Oryctolagus cuniculus: one gene and its partners. The protein of the gene in region 1 purifies or fractionates together with the protein of each later gene. This does not show direct contact. Links are inferred from orthologs where the notes say so. Each region holds a gene or a part of one and is shown in the gene's direction. Other genes may lie near its edges. The genes, in order: RNF111, SKIL, SMAD7, SMAD2 and SKI.

Region 1 (3,850 bases):
AATGAAATAATCTAATAAAACACTAAAATGTTTTTTCTATCTAATTCTATATTTTAGGCCTTCCTCAGAGTTTCTCATGTCTCAATGGACTCATGAATATAACGAGCTCTATACTTTAAAAGTGGATATGAAGAGTGAGATTCCATCTGATGCACCAAAGACACAAGAGAGTCTGAAAGGGATCCTTTTGCATCCAGAGCCCATTGGGGCAGCCAAAAGTTTTCCTGCAGGAGTTGAAATGATAAATAATAAAGTGGGGAATGAATTCTCTCACTTGTGTGATGATACTCAAAAACAAGAGAAGGATATGAATAGTAACCAACAAGAACAAGAAAAACGTGCTGTAAGGAAAAAACGCAAAAGCCAGCAGGCTGGTCCTTCTTACATGCAGGATTGTGTTAAGGAGAACCAGGGAGTATTAGGATTGCGGCAACACCTAGAGCCACCAAGTGATGAAGATAATGATTCCTCCTTTAGTGATTGCCTTTCTTCTCCTTCATCTAGTCTGCATTTTGGAGATTCTGATACTGTGACGTCCGATGAGGACAAAGAAGTTTCTGTAAGGCATTCCCAAACCATTTTGAATGCTAAAAGCAGAAGTCATAGTGCACGGTCCCAGAAGTGGCCTCGGACTGAGACAGAATCTGTATCAGGATTATTAATGAAAAGACCTTGTTTTCATAGCAATTCATTAAGGAGACTCCCATGCAGAAAAAGATTTGTAAAAAATAATTCCTCACAGAGGACACAGAAGCAAAAAGAGAGGATATTAATGCAGAGGAAGAAACGGGAAGTGTTAGCCCGAAGAAAATATGCCTTGCTTCCAAGTTCCAGTAGTTCCAGCGAGAATGACCTCAGCAGTGAATCCTCTTCCAGTTCATCAACTGAAGGAGAAGAAGATTTGTTTGTTTCTGCCAGTGAAAACCACCAAAACAATCCAGCTGCTCCCTCAGGTAAAAGCGTTTCTAAAGATGAGTAGAACATGGCAGCTTTTACATCGTCTTTGTATTATTTTCTCATTTCTATGTCACAGTATTTAATAAAAGGAATATTGGACTCTATTATCTTTTATTTTTATGCTTATAAGTAAATTATCAACTGTAATTTGAAGCCATGTCTCCAATTCTGAGATAAAAGTTTTTAAATTTTCCGGTGGTAAAAACAGAGTTTTTTTTTTTTTTTTTTTTTTTTTGAGGATAAAAATTTACATCATTTAATACATAATAGATTACATTTTATGAGATATTGATTTGTGATACACAACTGTTTTTTTCCTATCATTCTTCTTTCATATGTTTAACTTTCATGAATACATTTTAAGATACCTGTGTGATACTTTTTTCACTTTCAAGTATACTAAGAACAGTTCTAGTCACTAAAAAAGACTGCTTAATATTATTTTTCCTTTAAGTATTCTATTGTTTATTGTTACATTGTAGCTGAAATACAATTTCTTTACAGCTGAAAAATGAATCCCAGTGTTTGGTAACTTTTATTTTGATACTATGGCCCAGAAACTTTGTCTTGATAATGCTCATTAGGGCATATGATTCAGCAATTAAAACTGAATTAAAGGGAACAGTACTCATGTGCTCATGCCCCCCCCCCCCCCACATACATAGTGAAAGTTATGTTTATAAGTTTGTATGCAGTCCTGAAGTATAAATATATCCCATGAATACAGACCACTCTAAGTTAAAGGGGTTGTAATTTTAAAAGTTTTTTCTTAAGATTTATTTATTTATTTGAAAGAGTTACACAGAAAAAGGAAGAGACATAGATTTTCCTTCCCTGGTTCATTCCCTACATGGCTGTAACAGCCAGGGCTGGGCCAGGCTGAACTCAGGTGCCAGGAGCGTCATCCGGGTCTCCCATATGGGTGCAGGGGCCCAAGCACTTGGGCCATCTTCCACTGCTTTTCCAATCACATTAGTAGGGAGCTGGGTTGGAAGTGGAGCAACTGGGTCTCAAACCAGCACCCATATGTGATGCCTGAGTTACAGCGGAGGCTTTATGAGCTACCCCACAATGCCGGCCCCTTAAATGTTTTTGAAGTGAGTGTTGAGGAACTAAGTTTGAGCAGAGGGAAAAGATAAATTTCTTGTGAAATCAGAGAGGAAGGGAATAGGATATCGGAAGACCTTTTTAAAGGAGTGGGATCATGGTTTCCAATACTGACACAGAGCTTTCCCAGTTTTGTCTGATGTCCTGCTTGTTAAGGTCAGAGTCTGCAAGTCTACTGTTCAGACTGTTAAGATGTGCCATGTCTCCCTCTTTCATCTCTCCCTCTGTATGAGTCACTGCCTTCTCCGGATTCTCTTTCCTTTTTCCTTTTTCCTCTTCTGTCCTTACCAGACCCCTAAAAACAGTAACCTTGTTGGTAATCTTAGCTTTAGCCATATGTAGTCCATATTTAAAAGCCAACCATACTTATTTTATAAGAGTTCTTTGTGATCACCTTAGGCTTGGGGGAACAGCAGTCATTTCCTTAGATTTCTGAGAAAGAGGAATGTAATAACAGGAGTTGTCTTTCTAAATTACCAGATTTTTTTCCTCATGATCAAAAAATGTAGGTTCTAGTTTTGGGAAAATGGGTTAGGAGAGCTCAATTTCTGCTTGGAATTTTATGATGCAGGATGTTGGTAATGTGGAGCAGAAGTTCTAGGGAACTGTTACTTGTAGCAGGGGGGCGGGGTGTGTGTGTGAGAATATTATGAATAAAGATCAGAATCAGTGTCTGTTTCCAGGAAGGATGAAGCATCTTAACCACTGTGCCACATGCCTGCTGCTAAATCTGTTATGTTTTACTGTGTGTTAAAATTAGGATTGGGAGGTCTCAACTTTTAATTGGAGTTACCTACTAAATGTTTATATGATTTGTATGGATGGATATTAGTTACTCTGGAGCTACTGGGGCAACTTTGTCCACATGAAATTCATCAATACTTAGTTGCTGTTAGAGTAGTGAATTAATGAAAAAACGTTTTATATTTTAAGCATTTTGTGGTAAGATTCCTGGAGTGGACATTCAACCTAGTGGTTATTATGCCTGCGTCCCAAGTCATAGGGCCTGGGTTTGATTCCTAGCTCTAGCTACTGACTCTAACTTCCTTCCGGTGCAGACACTGGGAGGCATTGTTGATATAGCTGAAGTGACTTTGTGCCTGCCATCCGTGTGGGAGACTAGACTTGAGTTCCGAGCCTACGGCTCTGGTTCCAGTCTAGCCTGGCCCAACAGAAAGCCTGAAGCTTTCTGTTTCAAATTTTTTTTTATTTTGACCAAAAAAACCTTTAGGCACAAAAGTTATAGATAATTGATTTTAGCAAATCACCTAAGAATGAAATTTTTTATATTGTTTTGCAAATATCAGTTCATTTGTTAAAATCAACAGATTTCTGGAAAATATTTGCCTCATGCTGCACCATTATCTACTTTTACATTTTTAAGGGGGGGGGGGCAGCGTTGTGGCATGGTGGAAAAGGGTATAATTCTAGAATTTCGATTTAATAAAATATGAAAAAGTTCTGGAGATCTGTTTCGTAGCAGTCTGAATATACTTAATACTACTGAACTGTATTAAGGACGATTAAAATGATAGAAAAGAGCAGGTTATTTATTTCTTCTCTGGATAGATTTTACACAAATCTGGTGCTGAATAACTTTTTGTAAACATGCCGCTATCAGTGTTTCCATCATCTGTCAATACAGATGTCAGTCAACAGTTTACAAATCCTATCTGTGATGAGAATTATCCCATAATAAGAATATGAGAGTAAAAAAAAAAACACCCACTTTAAGTGTGTATTTCTAATTTGTGAGCACATACTTTGTGTCATGTACAGTATTCTG
Region 2 (3,850 bases), on another chromosome or scaffold:
GAGTTAAAGGCTTTTCCTACTGGTGTGAGGATTTATACAAGTCTTCATTTTGCCAACACAGGCTAATGCCATCATTTTAGAGGAACTAATACTTACCCCAACACCTTTATGGTGTCAGCGGCAGAAATGAATCTGGTTACATCGTTTTGACTTGTGCTTGAGTCTAGATTTTATTGCACAAGTGATGGAATGAGCCTTCCATGTGTTTTACTTTAAAAGAACCAAACCAGACAATTGCATTGAATCTGGATATCTTGACTTGAGAAATTGGTAACTTTGTTTTGCTAAATGTGCCTGAAGAATTCAAGAAAAGAAAGGTTTCTTCAGAGGTGTGACTCTTAAAATCAATTACTAGAGCTAAAACAAGTTTTTCAGCATTTGCAGTAGAATTATACTAGGGTTTAAGCAGACACAAGCTAAAAGGTACGGAACCTATTGAATGAGGCGATTGCTTTGGAAGGTTTTCTATTAGTTAAGTTACCGTAAGTATTTGTGGACAGTACTTTTCTCCAGATAAGAAATTAATTGAAAATGCAAATCTCAGACTTAATTATTTAACACATTTTGTCTCAATGGAAAACCTACAGACAAACTTCTTGGTTCAAGGCTCAAATAAAAAACTGAATGGGATGGCAGATGATGGCAGCCCCCCCGTGAAAAAAATGATGACAGACATTCATGCAAATGGAAAGATGATAAATAAGGTGCCAACGGTGAAGAAGGAGCATGTGGATGATTTTGGAGAAGCGCCGATGGAGACTGACGGAGAGCATGTCAAGCGAACCTGTACTTCTGTGCCTGAATCTTTAAATCTAAATCCCAGTTTGAAGCACACGCTGGCACAGTTCCATTTAAGTAGTCAGAGCTCTCTGGGTGGGCCAGCAGCATTTTCTGCTCGCTATTCCCAAGAGAGCATGTCCCCTACTGTATTTCTGCCTCTTCCATCGCCTCAGGTTCTTCCTGGTCCACTGCTCATCCCTTCTGATAGCTCCACAGAACTTACCCAGACTATGTTGGAAGGGGAGTCTATTTCTTGTTTTCAAGTTGGAGGAGAAAAGAGACTCTGTTTGCCGCAAGTCTTAAATTCTGTTCTTCGAGAATTTTCACTTCAGCAAATAAATACAGTGTGTGATGAATTGTACATATATTGTTCAAGGTGTACTTCAGACCAGCTTCATATCTTAAAGGTCCTGGGAATACTTCCATTCAATGCCCCGTCTTGTGGGCTGATCACATTGACTGATGCACAAAGACTCTGTAACGCTCTGTTGCGGCCACGAACTTTTCCTCAGAACGGTAGCGTACTTCCTGCTAAAAATTCATTGGCCCAGTTAAAGGAAACTGGCAGTGCCTTTGAAGTGGAACATGAATGCCTGGGCAAATGTCAGGGTCTGTTTGCACCCCAGTTCTATGTTCAGCCTGATGCTCCATGTATTCAGTGTCTAGAGTGCTGTGGAATGTTCGCACCTCAGACATTTGTGATGCATTCTCACAGGTCACCTGACAAAAGAACTTGCCACTGGGGTTTTGAATCAGCCAAATGGCATTGTTATCTTCATGTTAACCAAAAGTACTTAGGAACACCTGAAGAAAAGAAACTGAAGGTAATTTTAGAAGAAATGAAGGAGAAATTTACCATGAGAAATGGAAAGAGAACTCAGTCTAAGGCAAGTTTGTTTTATAATAAACAATTTTGAATAATGGAAATGGTTTACTTTGAAGTCAGAAATCTCTTTAGTGTGTAACTTCACCTGTCAAGAGATTTAGTACTGATAACAACAAAACATTGATCAGTGTGCTATGTTTCTATTGTAATTTTTAGGCTATAAAATATTTTTTCTGTATGTTTTCTCATTTGACCTTCCAGATAACCTTGTGAATGAAGTAGGATTACTCCTATTTTATAGATAAGAAAATGAAGTTAAGAAAATGAAATGACCCTTCCAAAATTATGTATCCAGGGAGTGGAAGAGTTGGGGCGACTGTCTCAAATCATACCCTTTCTTTTTCACACATCCTGCTTCTTGAAGACAAAATCTGTTTTTTTTCCTAGGACTAAAGATAATTTACACTTAGCTATTATCTCCATATACAAAAGATAATAATGGCAAGCCACAACACTTCAGGCTTTGGGCTTCAGATAACAGTTTTCTTTTTTCTTTTTCTTTTTTTTTTTTGACAGAGTGGACAGTGAGAGAGAGACAGAGAGAAAGGTCTTCCTTTGCCGTTGGTTCACCCTCCAATGGCTGCCGCGGCCGGCGCACCGCGCTGATCCAAAGGCAGGAGCCAGGTACTTATCCTGGTCTCCCATGGGGTGCAGGGCCCAAGCACTTGGGCCATCCTCCACTGCACTCCCTGGCCACAGCAGAGAGCTGGCCTGGAAGAGGGGCAACTGGGACAGAATCCGGCGCCCCGACTGGGACTAGAACCTGTTCTTTTGGCGCCGCAAGGCAGAGGATTAGCCTACTGAGCTGCGGCACTGGCCCAGATAACAGTTTTCAAAGGTACACCCATGATTTTGTGACTTTATGACTCTAGTAACCAAGACTTATAAAAGATTTATTTATTTATTTGAAAGGCAGAGTTACAGAGAGGCAGAGAGGGAGAGGATGAGTGAGATCTTCCATCTGCTGGTTCAATCCTCAAATGGCTGCAACGGTGAGGGCTGGGCCAGGCCGAAGCCAAGAGCAAGGTGCTTCCTCTAGTCTCCCACATGGGTACAGAGGCCTCAGTACTTGGGCCATCCTTTGCTGCTTTGCCAGGCGCACTGGCAGGGAGCTGGATGGGAAGTGGAGCCAGGAGTTGACCCAGTGCCCATATGGAATGCCAGCACTGTAGGCGGTAGCTTTTACCTGCCATGCCACAGAGGCAGCCCCTGACTATTTTAAAACAAAGAAATACTTTATTATGACACAGATAAAATTTTGTTTTTGACTAATGACGTAAAAAACTGTCAACAAAGATATCATTAACTTGTTTTTTTTTTCCCCGTTGTGTTATATGGCAGATAAAACTGATATTTTTATTCTGATTTAAGATTTTTAGTGCTTGGGCAATCCACAAGATTTGGGTTACTAAATATTCAACTTGTTGGTCTGATTACTTTATGTATTTTCCTAGTTTGCTAAAATGGATATATAATTAATGCTAAGTGTTTAAAATATAGCAAACATTGCTCTTACAGTTTTACATGTATAATTACAACAAAAGACTGGCTATGTTTTGTTTGACAAATTCTGATTTTTCCATTATTTAATTTTGATTCCTTGAAATACCTCTGCTGCTTCTATTTTTAGAGACTGAATGAAGCATATTGAATGAATGAAGGTTATTTACAACAAATTTAAGAGTTTTGACTAGAAACTAAGATTTGGTGTCATACTCGTTATTATGGTGTCTTTAAGGTTTTAAGGAAAAATTAGTGAATGATAAAGTGGTTTACTCCTGAAGTTCAGTGAAGCTAATTTGAGACTCTCATTAGGGTTGTTTATAGCTTACTACTTCCAAAAGGTGTATACTTCAGAATTCCTTGCCAGTGGCAGCTAGATAAGTTTATGTTCTACAGGTGCAGCTATTAACTGATTTTAAAGCAGGAATGACTGAATCAAGCTTCAGAGTGTGGAACTGGCTTTTAGTGGCCTTGTCCAGTGCTGAAGTGTGTGTTCAGAGATAAACTATATTCTCAAATTATGGAATGGGCCTTTTCACTCTCCAGATGGCCGCAATGGCCGGAGCTGCGCCGATCAGGAGCCAGGAGCTTCTTCCTGGTCTCCCATGCCAGTGCAGGGGCCCAAGGACTTGGGCTATCTTCTACTGCTCTCCCAGGCCATAGCAGAGAGCTGGATTGGAA
Region 3 (4,594 bases), on another chromosome or scaffold:
CACACTCGCTTGCAGCTCGGCGCACGGAGGATCCTGTCCCCGAGCCGCGCCAGCCGAGCCAGCCGGGCGCCGTGCTCGGTCCGGGAGCCGCGCCGGAGAGAGCTGCCTGAGACGGAGCCAGCCCGCCGGCGCCGAGCCGCCGAGCGCCCGGCCCCGGAGCCCCTGAGCGCGCCGCGGAGAGCCCCCGGAGGCGGCAGCAGGACCCGAGCGCCGAGAGAGGGCGGACGGGGGACAAGGAGGCAGCCGGCTGCGACGAGAGGAGTCTCAGAGGAGGCGGCGAGAGGACACCGGGGCCTCCCGCCGCCGAAGCCGGCTCGGGGCGAGCAGCCCATGCGGGGAGCCCCGGCGGCCAGCCACGGCCAGGGGAGGGGGCGCCAGCGGCCCCCGCGCTAGCCGGCAGCTTGTGCCCGGGGGGGCAGGAGCGTGCGACCCACCGGGGGCCCGCGGTGGCCGCCGTGCCGCGTTCCCCCGCGCTGTCAGCCCCGCTGGGCGCAGTCGCCGCCGCCGCCGCAGCCGCAGCGGCAGCATCTTCTGCCCCTGCGCCCCCGCCAGCCCCGAGGAAGTCCCCGCCGAGAACCTGGGCCCCCGGGACCGCAGGAGGAAAGACCAGAGACTCCCCTGGGACACCCGGATGCGCAGGATTGAAGCAGCCTAGCCCGACCTTTCTGTGGATTAAAAAAAAAAAAATTACACGATCTTTCGGGGGGAGGCAGAAGAAACGGAGAGGAAGACCAACGAGGCTCTGCGAGGAACGGAGCGGGCATGTAGCTCGTGGATGCGCCTCTGCACCCCGCAAGCGTCTTGTTCCACTTTGTAAACATTTTCTCCTCCCAAGCCCCGGCTGCGGGCGGACGAGCTGGTGGTTTTCATCTGGGGCTTTTGCATATTTGCTTCTGAGGTTCGGCGAGAACCTCCACGTTTCGCCAGACGGCTCATGCGGGGTGAAGTCCGCTCGGCCCCCTCCCCCGAGCCTTCGTGCGCACGGAATTCGAGGAGATCCGGTTACTAAGGATATAGAGGAAAAAAATAAATCGCGTGCCTGCTTTTTTTTTTTTTTTTTTTTATAATTGCCTGCTTCTCCCCACCCCCAAATTAAGTTGCTTAGCAAGGGGGAACGAGGCTCTTTGCTCGCTCGGGCAGCCTCGCCGGGCGCCTTTCGGTTTCTGCCCCCGCGGATCTTCCATGTAGGAAGCCGAGGCTGGCGAGCCCGACACTCGGGAGCCGCCGCGGGGGGGCCGCTCGCTGGGGAGGCGCCGACGGGGGCAGGCTCGGCCGCCCCCAGGGAAGCGGCGGCCGCGTTCCTCCGGGGCGCGCCGGGGCCCGAGAGCCGCGCAGGGCGCGGGCCGCGCGGGGTGGGGCAGCCGGAGCGCAGGCCCCCGAGCCCCGGCGGGCGCCCCCGGGCCCCCGCGCGCGCCCCGGCCTCCGGGAGACTGGCGCATGCCACGGAGCGCCCCTCGGGCCGCCGCCGCTCCTGCCTGGGCCCCTGCTGCTGCTGCTGCTGTCGCCTGCGCCTGCTGCCTCAACTCGGCGCCCGAGTTCTTCATGGTGTGCGGAGGTCATGTTCGCTCCTTAGCCGGCAAACGACTTTTCTCCTCGCCTCCTCGCCCCGCATGTTCAGGACCAAACGATCTGCGCTCGTCCGGCGTCTCTGGAGGAGCCGTGCGCCCGGCGGCGAGGACGGGGAGGAGGGTGCGGGCGGAGGCGAGCTGCGGGGAGAAGGGGCGACGGACGGCCGGGCGCATGGGGCCGGTGGCGGCGGCGCGGGCAGGGCTGGCTGCTGCCTGGGCAAGGCGGTCCGAGGTGCCAAAGGTCACCACCACCCCCACCCGCCGGCCGCGGGCGTCGGCGCGGCCGGGGGCGCCGAGGCGGATCTGAAGGCGCTCACGCACTCGGTGCTCAAGAAACTGAAGGAGCGGCAGCTGGAGCTGCTGCTCCAGGCCGTGGAGTCCCGGGGCGGGACGCGCACCGCGTGCCTCCTGCTGCCCGGCCGCCTGGACTGCAGGCCGGGCCCGGGGGCGCCCGCCAGCGCGCAGCCCGCGCAGCCGCCCTCGTCCTACTCGCTGCCCCTTCTGCTGTGCAAAGTGTTCAGGTGGCCGGATCTCAGGCATTCCTCGGAAGTCAAGAGGCTGTGTTGCTGTGAATCTTACGGGAAGATCAACCCCGAACTGGTGTGCTGCAACCCCCATCACCTTAGCCGACTCTGCGAACTAGGTGAGGAGTTGCTCCCGCCCCGCGACCGGCGCGCGGCGCCGCGAGTCACCTCCCGGGCGGAGAGAGACACGGGGGGCCGGGGCGGGCTCCGAGGGCTTTCCCTGGGGGTTCCCTCCCAGGTCTGTCCGGCGCCCCCAGGGGCCCTGTGGCCGCAGCTCCACCACACACTGTACTGATGGGCGGTTAAAAAGACGTCCTCACTTCCGCATCGGCACCCGGGTGCGGAGACAAGTGGGGCTCACGCCTCCCCCGCACCCGGAAAGGCGCTGAGGTGTGTGGCCGAGTTGGATCCGGGCCAAGCCCGCCAAGGAAGGCTGGGAGAAGCGAGAGGGAGGGCCGAGCTGCTTTTGGCGGCCGCGGAGACACTGGGCACGGGCGGCCCAGATGTTGCCCTGGCTCGGGTTAGCAGGGGAGGCCCGGCTGGGATGGCGCCCTGGGCTGCGCCGTTCTAGAGGCCTGAAGTCGAGTGTCCCCCGCCTTCTCCTTTCTCTGGCACCAAACGGGCGCAGAACTGGGTCTGGAATGCTCTATCCCAGCGCATTGGTGACGTTGCTGCCCGTCCCGGAGCTGGGGCCTGGGCTCCCCCGACAGAGCTCCCGAGCCCCTTCCCTTTGGCCTTCCCACTTGCCTGCGTTCTCCCCCCACCCCACCTTTTCTTTCAAAGGTTAAGGTGCCTGGGACGAGGTGCCCCCCAAGCTCACCAGCACGCTTGGGGCGCGTCTTCCCCCTGGGCTGGGAATGGGGAGTCCCGTGCCTCCCTCGCAGGGGCTGGGGCGGGAGGTGGGATGGGGGTCTAGGGTTCGGGGCCGGGCTGTCCCCCCTCCACCCGGGGAGCCGCGAGGCGCGCGGCCCCGGCCGAGCCGCGGCCGAGCTGGTGGTTTCCAGCCCGGCTGGGCGAGCGCGGCGGCGGCGGCCGCCGCAGACGTGGAGGAGCGGAGCGCCGAGGCTGGCGCCAGGCGGCCTCTTTTGTTTATCTGACAGCTAAATATCAAGGCAATCACCGCCCCGCAGCCCTGCCTCCAACCCCCACAGCTAAGACAAACAGTGGGGCCGAAAGAATGCCTCTGTTATCATAAGTTTCTATCTCTCTTTCTCATGGCCCGGCCTTTATTTCCTCTTTTTAATTCCAGAGTCTCCCCCTCCTCCTTACTCCAGATACCCGATGGATTTTCTCAAACCAACTGGTGAGTAGATGGCTTGGAAAAAATGCTTTTCCTATTCTGCTAGAAGCGGGGTGTTTTGTGTCCAGACAGCAGCCTTGGGGAGGTGCTGGCCTCGCCCCAAGTGGCACCTGGGTTTCCTGTGCTGGAAGTTTGGTGACTTTGTGTTAGTGTGGCTGGTTTTTTGCCTTTTTTTTTTTTCTTTCTTTCTTTGCAAAGACCTCTTCTAGATAAGCTTTACCTTGGGTTCCATTTTCACGTATATTTGCCCTCTGCCTCTGAAGCTGGTTGGATTTTAATACCCGGATGCTTTAAGCCACAAAGAAGTGGCTTGGGGACTAAGCAGAGCAGGGTGATGGGAACCTTCAGAGACTGTGGCGAGTGCCCAAGGAATCAGGGCTGGTTTGAGGGAATGGAGGTGCCGAGTTTGGCCTGTCTAGGATAGGATGGTGGTGCATTTAAGAAGTTCCAGAAGCCAGAGGGGAGTAGGTGCCCCCTGCCCCAGTCACATACAAGTCAGCCCTGTCCTTTTTTTTCCTGGGAATCCTTGGTCTGGTCATGAAAGTGTTTAGGGTACCTCTGCCTGCCTGTTGGTTTGTCTCGGGAGGGCCCCCGGCCAGGGCAGAAACCCATTTGAGATTGGCATCAGCCCTGCTGTGGTTGTCCGCGTTTGATTTCTGGCTGGCGACACAGGGGTCCCAACCTTTGGTGCTGCGGTGCCAGGCGACAGGGTTAGCAGAACTGACCTGGGGGGTGACCCCGGAGACAGGCTGGCAGCCTGCAGCCCCTTCTTCCAGGCAGAGTCACCTGCTGGAGAGTACAGACTGTAACTGGTGTCTGTGCCTGTGCACCGGCGCACACTGGTGCCATGGTTGGTTTTGCCAAGGGTCTGGCGCGGGAGGAGCGAAGGGCTGGGCGCCGTTTAGGTCCTGGAATTCTCCAGGTCCTTCTGCCTCATGCATTTTGGCTGTTGGGCCGTTCCCCCCACTAATTAAAAGTTTTGCCGGGGCGTTGTCATACATTAAATACTTTAATGAACGTGTAACCGAAGCCCCGTGCGCGGAGCCAGCCCTCCTGGGACTGCACCAGCTCCCCCAAGCTGGGAAGGCGTTGCTGCTTGCCTGGTGCCTGTCTAATAAGGGGCCTGTGGAGCATGTGATATTTTGCTTTCGATTTACAAAACACCAGATAAATGGTCATTAATGAGATAACCAACTCCCTGT
Region 4 (3,848 bases), on another chromosome or scaffold:
ATTGAACCAGAGGGTTGGAGAGACCTTCCATGCCTCACAGCCTTCCCTCACAGTAGATGGCTTTACAGATCCATCAAACTCAGAGAGGTTCTGCTTAGGGTTACTGTCCAATGTGAACCGAAACGCCACAGTAGAAATGACAAGAAGACATATAGGTATGTTTTATGTTCCTTGTGCAAAGAACTTACGTATAAGAACCCAGTCCTCTGGCAGTTCAGCTGCTGTCATGGTTAAGTACACAGGCTTTCTTTGATTCTTCAATCTGCAAACTCTTGCCTTCAAATTATTATTTGGCACCCTTGACACTGAAAAGTTCTTCAGTAATGTGTGTTACAATAACATAAGTTTGTTAAGTTTTTGCCATCATAAAATGAGTGTGTTCAGATAGTAGGGTTAATTGTTATAAATCATGAGGTCCTCTTCCTCAGTTTGTTTATATCCCCTGTTGTATTTTTTTCTTCCTTCTGTGAGCTCATATATTAAATGATTTTAAAAATCTTAGGCTGAATATTTAAAGCAAGAGCTATCATTTAATATAATTCAGGGGGGTCTCAAAGTGTGGTCTCGGATCTGGTAATCCCAGAAACACTTGCAAGTTTCTGAGGTCAGAACTATTACGATGGTACCATTTTTACTCTCATTCTTTCATAAGTACACACTGGAGTATTTCAAAGGCTACATGGCATATGGATTTGCAAGATCTACCAAATGTAGATCTGATAGGAAAATCCAGCTATGTTCTGACAGACCTAAGAGATGTGCAAAAATGTGAAGCATTGTCACTCTTCTCACTATTTTTTTCTTTTGGATAATATGGTTGTTTTCTGTAAACATTAATGGTGATATGATTGATTTATTTTTAATTGAACTTGTGCGTGTTTTTAAGTCTGTTTTAATATCTGACGTCTAAGTTTCCATAAATGTGATCCATACAAACAGAAGCTCTTTGGAGTCCTCAATATTTTTTCTAGCAGTGAATCAAATAAGTTTGAAAGCCTTTAATAATTGAATGTCATTCTTATCTTCAAAGTAACTTAACCAAACTTTGCTTCTGTTTTCCTAGAATTAGCTCTCATCTCCCATGGGAAATACTGCTGATAGCCAGAGTGATTTTGGTCCTGCAAAATGATAGTGATTAGGAGATCTGTTAACTGTTTCCACGTGGAAGTTCTCAAATCTTGCTTGGTGTATAAATGTGGATAATCTCGTTAACGTACCCAGATGTGCTTGTAGCTCAGAAAGGCTTCTGAATATCTGTCTACTCCTACATTTACCAGAATAATTGTGGGGGTTTTCTGTGTATTTGTATTTTAATTGGGGTTCCGCATAAAAATTTAACAGAAACTTTATTCACTTCTCTCTATAAAATTTTGGGTTGCTGTATTTATCAGATCATTTTTTGTACTTCAGATTTCTAGTGTATTAAGTAGTTTTGATCAGAGAATACTGCCTGAAAAATCTTTTTTTTTTCAACTTAATCTTTTACTAATGGGCAAGCACCTGATTGTTTTACAAATATCCCATAATCTTAATAAGTTACCAGTTTCTGCATCTACCAAATCTGGCTTATTGGTTGTTTTACCTGTTTTCTTTTACTGCACAACAAAGATAATCCTCCTCCAGTGATTTGCTTCCTTAATGCCACCTGCAGAGTCCCTTCCCAACAGCACCTGGCTGGATTGAGTAACAGAGAAGGCGCACGTGTGCCAGGGCTGACTCTTAGGGACACTTCAGGATCTGCCTCCGACAGTTCTGTTTTACAAATTCTTATTTCTGATTTGTGTGTGTGTGTGTCTTTGATCTGTCAGATGCTGAACGAGCTGTTAGAACTGTCTGCTAGGATAAGTTTTCCCTTAACTAATTCCGTTTATGTTAAGAGAGATTTTGGTTGCCACCATGATACATAGTTTCAAAAAAGGTGAATGATGCTTAAACTCTTGAAATCTTTTTTATTACCTTCTTAATCTTAGTGGATCTTTAAGGAAAAACTATTTTAATGAAGATATCTTTGTCAAAGCATTAGCTAATTCCTTAAATTAACTGTTTCTTATTTTAAAATAATATATACTTTGTGTGAAAATATTTTACTATCCCTGTCCTTTTCTTGTTTAAATGCTTTTGATAAGCATATGTGCAGGGTTTTCAAGAAGGTCGTGGCAAATGTGTGCTATCAAAGGTATGCATGGATTTCAAAAAGGTTTTTGCACCGAAGTAAACTTATCTTTTAATTCCATTTTTTTCCATGAGGTTTTTGAAGTACCCTCATGTTGCTTTTAAAACTTAGTAAAATTATAGTTAAAAAAAAAACTATAAAAATATACAGTGGTATATTTCGACGTTAGACTTCAGAAAAGCATAGCTGTGAAATAGCTCACACCATTTTAGAATGTCTCCACGAAGACTCTTCTAAAGTCACACTGAAACAGTGTTATAAAACTAATCCCATATGTATTTTGTTTTAGGAAGAGGAGTGCGCTTATATTACATAGGTGGGGAAGTTTTTGCTGAGTGCCTAAGTGATAGTGCAATCTTTGTGCAGAGCCCCAATTGTAATCAGAGATACGGCTGGCACCCTGCAACAGTGTGTAAAATTCCACCAGGTATGATTCAACAATGTCAATAAACCTGTCACATCAATTCGCTTCGTTTTTCTAGTTGCTAATGTTAGGAATCAGGCAATGATTTGCATGCTTGTATTCTAAAACCTCTAGCTATTTTAAAATTACTTTCTAATAGTGATACTATTTTTTACACAGTTTCTTTTATTTTTTCCCCTCAATCATAGGCTGTAATCTCAAGATCTTCAACAACCAGGAATTTGCTGCTCTTCTGGCTCAGTCTGTTAATCAGGGGTTTGAAGCCGTCTATCAGCTAACTAGAATGTGCACCATAAGAATGAGTTTTGTGAAAGGCTGGGGAGCAGAATACCGGTATGAAATCCATGTTCAGTTTTTAAGTTTCCACTGTGTAATTCTTTTCTTATTCCATTGTTCGCATCTTTTGGAGTTCCCATGTGTCTGTTTTCATATTGGTAATAGAGTCAGCCGATCCTTATGTAAAATAATGAAAGAAAGGTGGAGGTCTGTAGAATCAAAATTGTTGCAAATTACTGTGCTGGCATTATAGGAAATCTGATTAACACGGACACACATTTTAACATAATGCAGGTTGCTGAATACCATAAAAGGAGTATATTGCAAGGCTATGTCAGCTCATGGAAAGAGAAGCATTGGCAGTTAGAACTTGAGGATGGCTGCCTGGGAAAGATGGCACACGGTCTCAGTCCAGGTTCTGTAAGATGCAGTGGTCACAGACAGGGTGGGTGAGATAGGAAATTATAATCCTGACAATTCAATAGCAGTTTGGTTTGGCAGAAAGCATATAGAGAAAAATAAGACTGGACAAGTAAGTTAAGGCCAAATACAATAGTCCTCTTTCATCTACAGTTTTCAGTTCCTGTGATCAGCCAAGTTCTGAAAATATTAAATGGAAAATTCCTGAAATAAGCTTTAAGTAAATTATTATATTCTTATAATTGTTCTATTTTTATGTCATTATTCATCTTTTACTATGCCTAATTTGTAAATGATAGGTACTAAGTATGTATGTATGGGTAAAACCTTAATAGTGTGTATAGGGTTCGGTGTTATCCATGGTTTTGGTCATCCACTGGATAAAACATATCCTCCAAAGAAAATGGGGGTTGCTCTTTGAGGTTCAGATCAGGGGACTGTTATTCAGGAGTAGAAGGGTACTTGTTGTGATGCCAGCCACTGTACTGTATATCCTGAGAAGAATGACGCTTTATGTTGTTAATCCTTTGTTTAAATGATTAAAATCGGTGCAGT
Region 5 (4,470 bases), on another chromosome or scaffold:
CCCCTACCAAGCAGGTCCTGAGGGTGCCAGGACCCCTGCTCACGCTGCCACTACCCATCCCCGCATGGGGTGCAGCCACCCAGGCTCATGTGGCACCGGGGGTGTGCGGGCTGGCCCCGTGGTGAGGGACCCGGGCGTGTGCGGGCTGGCCCCGTGGTGAGGGACCCGGGCGTGTGCGGGCTGGCCCCGTGGTGAGGGACCCGGGCGTGTGCGGGCTGGCCCCGTGGTGAGGGACCCGGGCGTGTGCGGGCTGGCCCCGTGGTGAGGGACCCGGGCGTGTGCGGGCTGGCCCCGTGGTGAGGGACCCGGGCGTGTGCGGGCTGGCCCCGTGGTGAGGGACCCGGGACGTGTGCGGGGCGACCCCGTCCTGAGGGACCCGGGACGTGTGCGGGCTGGCCCCGTGGTGAGGGACCCGGGGGTGTGCGGGCTGGCCCCGTGGTGAGGGACCCGGGGGTGTGCGGGCTGCCCCGTGGTGAGGGACCCGGGGGTGTGCGGGCTGCCCCGTGGTGAGGGACCCGGGGGTGTGCGGGCTGGCCCCGTGGCGAGGGACCCGGGGGTGTGCGGGCTGCCCCGTGGTGAGGGACCCGGGGGTGTGCGGGCTGGCCCCGTGGTGAGGGACCCGGGCGTGTGCGGGCTGGCCCCGTGGTGAGGGACCCGGGGGTGCGGGCTGGCTCCGTCCTGAGGGACCCGGGACGTGTGCGGGGCGACCCCGTCCTGAGGGACCCGGGACGTGTGCGGGGCGACCCCGTCCTGAGGGACCCGGGACGTGTGCGGGGCGACCCCGTCCTGAGGGACCCGGGGCGTGTGCGGGGCGGTCCCGTCCTGAGGGACCCGGGACGTGTGCGGGGCGACCCCGTCCTGAGGGACCCGGGGCGTGTGCGGGGCGGTCCCGTTGGGCATGGGAGGCGGCGTGCACCCGCCCAGATCGGCTCCTCGGCGAGGCTGCGGTTGTTGCGGGGCCCTGTGGGTTTTGTTGAGGCCCGGGGGCGGCGGCAGCGGCGGGACGGGCGTCTTCCCAGCCGCGCAGGAAGCGGCCTCGGCCGGAAGGGGGGCCCCGGGCGCCACCGCCTCCGCCTCCGCCAGCGGCCTTCGGGTGGGCGGGGCCGAGGGGAGCCGAGCGGCGGCCGAGCGGAGCCGAGCTCCCGACGGGCCGACACGAGCGGAGCCGACTCCTCTGCGGGTGGTCCCGAGCGGCGGCCGAGCGCGGCCGAGCGCGGCCGAGCGCGGCCGAGCGGGGCCGAGCGGAGCCGAGCCCAGCCCAGCCCGGGCGGGGGAGAGCGCGTTCCTGGAAGAGCGCGGCTGCGGCGCGGGTCACATTCTTGGCCGGCGCTCGGGCTGAGGCGGACGCACGGCAACAAACAGCGCGGGGGGCGGGCCGGCGGCGCGGGGCGGGGCGGCGCGGGGCGGGGCGGCGCGGCGGCGGCGTGAGCTCAGCGCCGGGCGCTCAGTCCGAGCCGGAGCGAGCCGCCGGGAGGATGTGCGCCGAGCGCCCCGAGCCCCGCGCCGCCTCGGCCGCCGCCGCCGCCTCGGCCGCCGCGCTCTGAGGGCCGCGGGCAGAGGCGCCTCCGCCGCCCGGAAGCCGCGGGCGGGGGCGGCGGGCGGGCGGGCGGGCCGGGGGCCGGCGGCGGGCGAGACGCGGCCGGCCAGCGCCGCCGGGACGAGCCGGGCGGGCGCCGCGCGGTGGGAGGAGCGGGGCGGCGGCGGCGCGCCGCGCGAGGACGGCCCGGCGGGCCCCGCGCCCGCGCCCCCGCTCCTCCCGGGGCCCTCGGCCTCGGCCGCCGCGGCGATTCGCGCCTCGCGGCGCCGGCACCTGCCCGCGCGCCCCCCGCGAGCCCCGGGCCCGCGAGCGTTGGCGTTGGCGTTGGCGGCGCGCGCCGGGGCATGCCCCGCGCCTAGAGCCCGGGGGGCGCGCGGGGGGCGCGCGGGGGGCCCGGGCGGCGGCGGCGGGCGCGGCGCGGGGCGCGTGGATGTGGCGCCGGGCCCGGGCGGCGGCGGCGGCGGGCTCCAGCGGCGGGACCCCTTCGCCCCGCCCGCCTTCCCCTTCGCGCCCCCGGGCGAGGCCGAGGCCGCGGCCGTGATCGGCCGGGAGCCGGCTGCGGGGGGCGGCCGGGGCCGGGGCCGCGGGCGCCGCCGGGGCGCGCGGGGCGGCGGCGGCGGCGGGGGGCGAGGGGGCCCGGGCGCGCGGGAGCGGGAGCGGCCCGGGGAGCCCGGGCGCGCCATGGAGGCGGCGGCGGGCGGCCGCGGCGGCTTCCAGCCGCACCCGGGGCTGCAGAAGACGCTGGAGCAGTTCCACCTGAGCTCCATGAGCTCCCTGGGCGGCCCGGCCGCCTTCTCGGCGCGCTGGGCGCAGGAGGCCTACAAGAAGGAGAGCGCCAAGGAGGCGGGCGCGGCCGCGGTGCCGGCGCCGGTGCCCGCGGCCGCCGAGCCGCCGCCCGTGCTGCACCTGCCCGCCATCCAGCCGCCGCCGCCCGTGCTGCCCGGGCCCTTCTTCATGCCGTCCGACCGCTCCACCGAGCGCTGCGAGACCGTGCTGGAGGGCGAGACCATCTCGTGCTTCGTGGTGGGCGGCGAGAAGCGCCTGTGCCTGCCGCAGATCCTCAACTCGGTGCTGCGCGACTTCTCGCTGCAGCAGATCAACTCGGTGTGCGACGAGCTGCACATCTACTGCTCGCGCTGCACGGCCGACCAGCTGGAGATCCTCAAAGTCATGGGCGTCCTGCCGTTCTCCGCGCCCTCGTGCGGGCTCATCACCAAGACGGACGCCGAGCGGCTGTGCAACGCGCTGCTCTACGGGGGCGCCTGCCCGCCGCCCTGCAGGAAGGAGCTGGCGGCCAGCCTGGCGCTGGGCCTGGAGCTGAGCGAGCGCAGCGTGCGCGTGTACCACGAGTGCTTCGGCAAGTGCAAGGGGCTGCTGGTGCCCGAGCTGTACAGCAGCCCCAGCGCCGCCTGCATCCAGTGCCTGGACTGCCGCCTCATGTACCCGCCGCACAAGTTCGTGGTGCACTCGCACAAGGCCCTGGAGAACCGGACCTGCCACTGGGGCTTCGACTCGGCCAACTGGCGGGCCTACATCCTGCTGAGCCAGGACTACACGGGCAAGGAGGAGCAGGCGCGGCTCGGCCGCTGCCTGGACGACGTGAAGGAGAAGTTCGACTACGGCAACAAGTACAAGCGGCGGGTGCCCCGGGTGAGTGTCCCCGCGCCCGCCGCGGCCGGGGTGGGGGGCGTTGTGCAGGGCGGCTGAGGGCCGAGCGAGCGCACGGCCGGGGAGGGAGGCCCTCCTTCCCGGCCCCCCTCCCCCGGGGTGAGCCCTGGCGGCGGCCAGCCGGGGGCCGGGCCTGGGGGGCTGGGAGAGCCGGCCGAGGCACGCAGCTGTTGCATGCAGAGGCGGGCGCGGCGCGGGGAAGGAGGCCTGCCCCAGCTGGGGGAGGTCGGATCTGGCAGAGCCAGGCCAGGAGCCCCAGACCCGGGTCCTCCGTGGGGCCTGCTCAGGCTCCAGGCCCAGGGCTGCCCGCCCTTGGTCCCCAGCCGGCGGCCTGGTGCTGGTTCCAGCTCCTTGTTTTGTGCTTTGAAGTCTTGGGACACAAACGCGAGAACGGAGCCAGGTGTCCAGGCTGCGGTGGCCCGCGGCCGAGACTTGGCGTCTCCTGGGCCTGCCGGGGAGTGAGTCCCAGAGCCCCGTGGAGGGCCAGGGCCAGGGCTTGGTTTCCTGCTTTCCCTCCCTGCCAGGCGCAGGCCGGCGTGGGGGCTCTGGCCTGGCGCCCCGGCCGCGCGCGGGAACTGCTCACTGGGTCCTCGGGGACTTTGGGCTGTACCCTCCCCACCCCTCCCCCACGCCCGCCTGGGCAACTTTTCTTCTGGACGCCGGCTTATTAAGGCGCACACGCGGACTGCTGCGTGGGCTCAGCCATTCTTGGGAGGCCTAATTAACGCAGCCGCCGCATCAGACTTCTTTTCTGAGCCCGTGAATAGATGCTGCGGCCGGTCCTCTCTGGGCGCCCCTCCAGCCAGTGTCAGCCGCCGGGAGGAGGGGCGGGGGCGGGGGCCGGCGCCCGGGGAGGCCAGGCCCCGCGGTGTGCAGAGGGGGGGCTGTGGCGGCTGTGACGGGCGCCCCTCGCCTGCCGGCGGCCGTTGTGTTTGGGGTGCCCACCCCCACTAGCTCGTGTGGCCCGAGGAAGCCACGTGTGCGGGGCGCGGGGAGCGCGCACGTCACGGGGCTGCGGAGCGGGGAGGAGGGTCTGGGCTGAGCAGGGCGTGTCTGTGTGCGTGTGTGTGCATGTGTGTACGTGTGCGCGCGTGTCTGTCTCGTGTGTCTGTGCATGCGTGTCTCCGTGTCTGCATGCATGTATGTGTATGTGTGCGCATGGGTCTTGTGTTTGTGTCTGCGTGTGTGGGTACATGTGTGTCTTGGTGTGCACGCGTGTGTCTTGGTGTGTCGTGTGTGCATGCATGTGGGTGTGCGCCTGTCTT

The links.
Region 2: the proteins of RNF111 (region 1) and SKIL purify together in Homo sapiens (affinity purification with western blotting; 3 studies listed by BioGRID). This does not show direct contact. The link is inferred for Oryctolagus cuniculus from reciprocal best matches to the Homo sapiens genes RNF111 and SKIL.
Region 3: the proteins of RNF111 (region 1) and SMAD7 purify together in Homo sapiens (affinity purification with western blotting; 3 studies listed by BioGRID). This does not show direct contact. The link is inferred for Oryctolagus cuniculus from reciprocal best matches to the Homo sapiens genes RNF111 and SMAD7.
Region 4: the proteins of RNF111 (region 1) and SMAD2 purify together in Homo sapiens (affinity purification with western blotting, with the first as the bait; 3 studies listed by BioGRID). This does not show direct contact. The link is inferred for Oryctolagus cuniculus from reciprocal best matches to the Homo sapiens genes RNF111 and SMAD2.
Region 5: the proteins of RNF111 (region 1) and SKI purify together in Homo sapiens (affinity purification with western blotting, with the first as the bait; 3 studies listed by BioGRID). This does not show direct contact. The link is inferred for Oryctolagus cuniculus from reciprocal best matches to the Homo sapiens genes RNF111 and SKI.

Annotation. Positions count from the first base shown.
Region 1 is NC_091443.1:81,919,132-81,922,981, forward strand, and holds part of RNF111 (E3 ubiquitin-protein ligase Arkadia), read left to right. Parts: intron 1-57; coding exon 58-953; intron 954-3,850. UniProt on the Homo sapiens protein: E3 ubiquitin-protein ligase. Required for mesoderm patterning during embryonic development. Acts as an enhancer of the transcriptional responses of the SMAD2/SMAD3 effectors, which are activated downstream of BMP.
Region 2 is NC_091435.1:109,928,182-109,932,031, reverse strand, and holds part of SKIL (ski-like protein), read left to right. Parts: 5' UTR 1-572; coding exon 573-1,667; intron 1,668-3,850. UniProt on the Homo sapiens protein: May have regulatory role in cell division or differentiation in response to extracellular signals.
Region 3 is NC_091441.1:28,916,257-28,920,850, forward strand, and holds the start of SMAD7 (mothers against decapentaplegic homolog 7), read left to right. Parts: upstream 1-1,610; coding exon 1,611-2,211; intron 2,212-3,341; coding exon 3,342-3,395; intron 3,396-4,594. UniProt on the Homo sapiens protein: Antagonist of signaling by TGF-beta (transforming growth factor) type 1 receptor superfamily members; has been shown to inhibit TGF-beta (Transforming growth factor) and activin signaling by associating with their receptors thus preventing SMAD2 access.
Region 4 is NC_091441.1:29,859,991-29,863,838, forward strand, and holds part of SMAD2 (mothers against decapentaplegic homolog 2), read left to right. Parts: coding exon 1-155; intron 156-2,462; coding exon 2,463-2,600; intron 2,601-2,785; coding exon 2,786-2,930; intron 2,931-3,848. UniProt on the Homo sapiens protein: Receptor-regulated SMAD (R-SMAD) that is an intracellular signal transducer and transcriptional modulator activated by TGF-beta (transforming growth factor) and activin type 1 receptor kinases.
Region 5 is NC_091438.1:163,662,338-163,666,807, reverse strand, and holds the start of SKI (ski oncogene), read left to right. Parts: upstream 1-1,451; 5' UTR 1,452-2,218; coding exon 2,219-3,187; intron 3,188-4,470. UniProt on the Homo sapiens protein: May play a role in terminal differentiation of skeletal muscle cells but not in the determination of cells to the myogenic lineage. Functions as a repressor of TGF-beta signaling.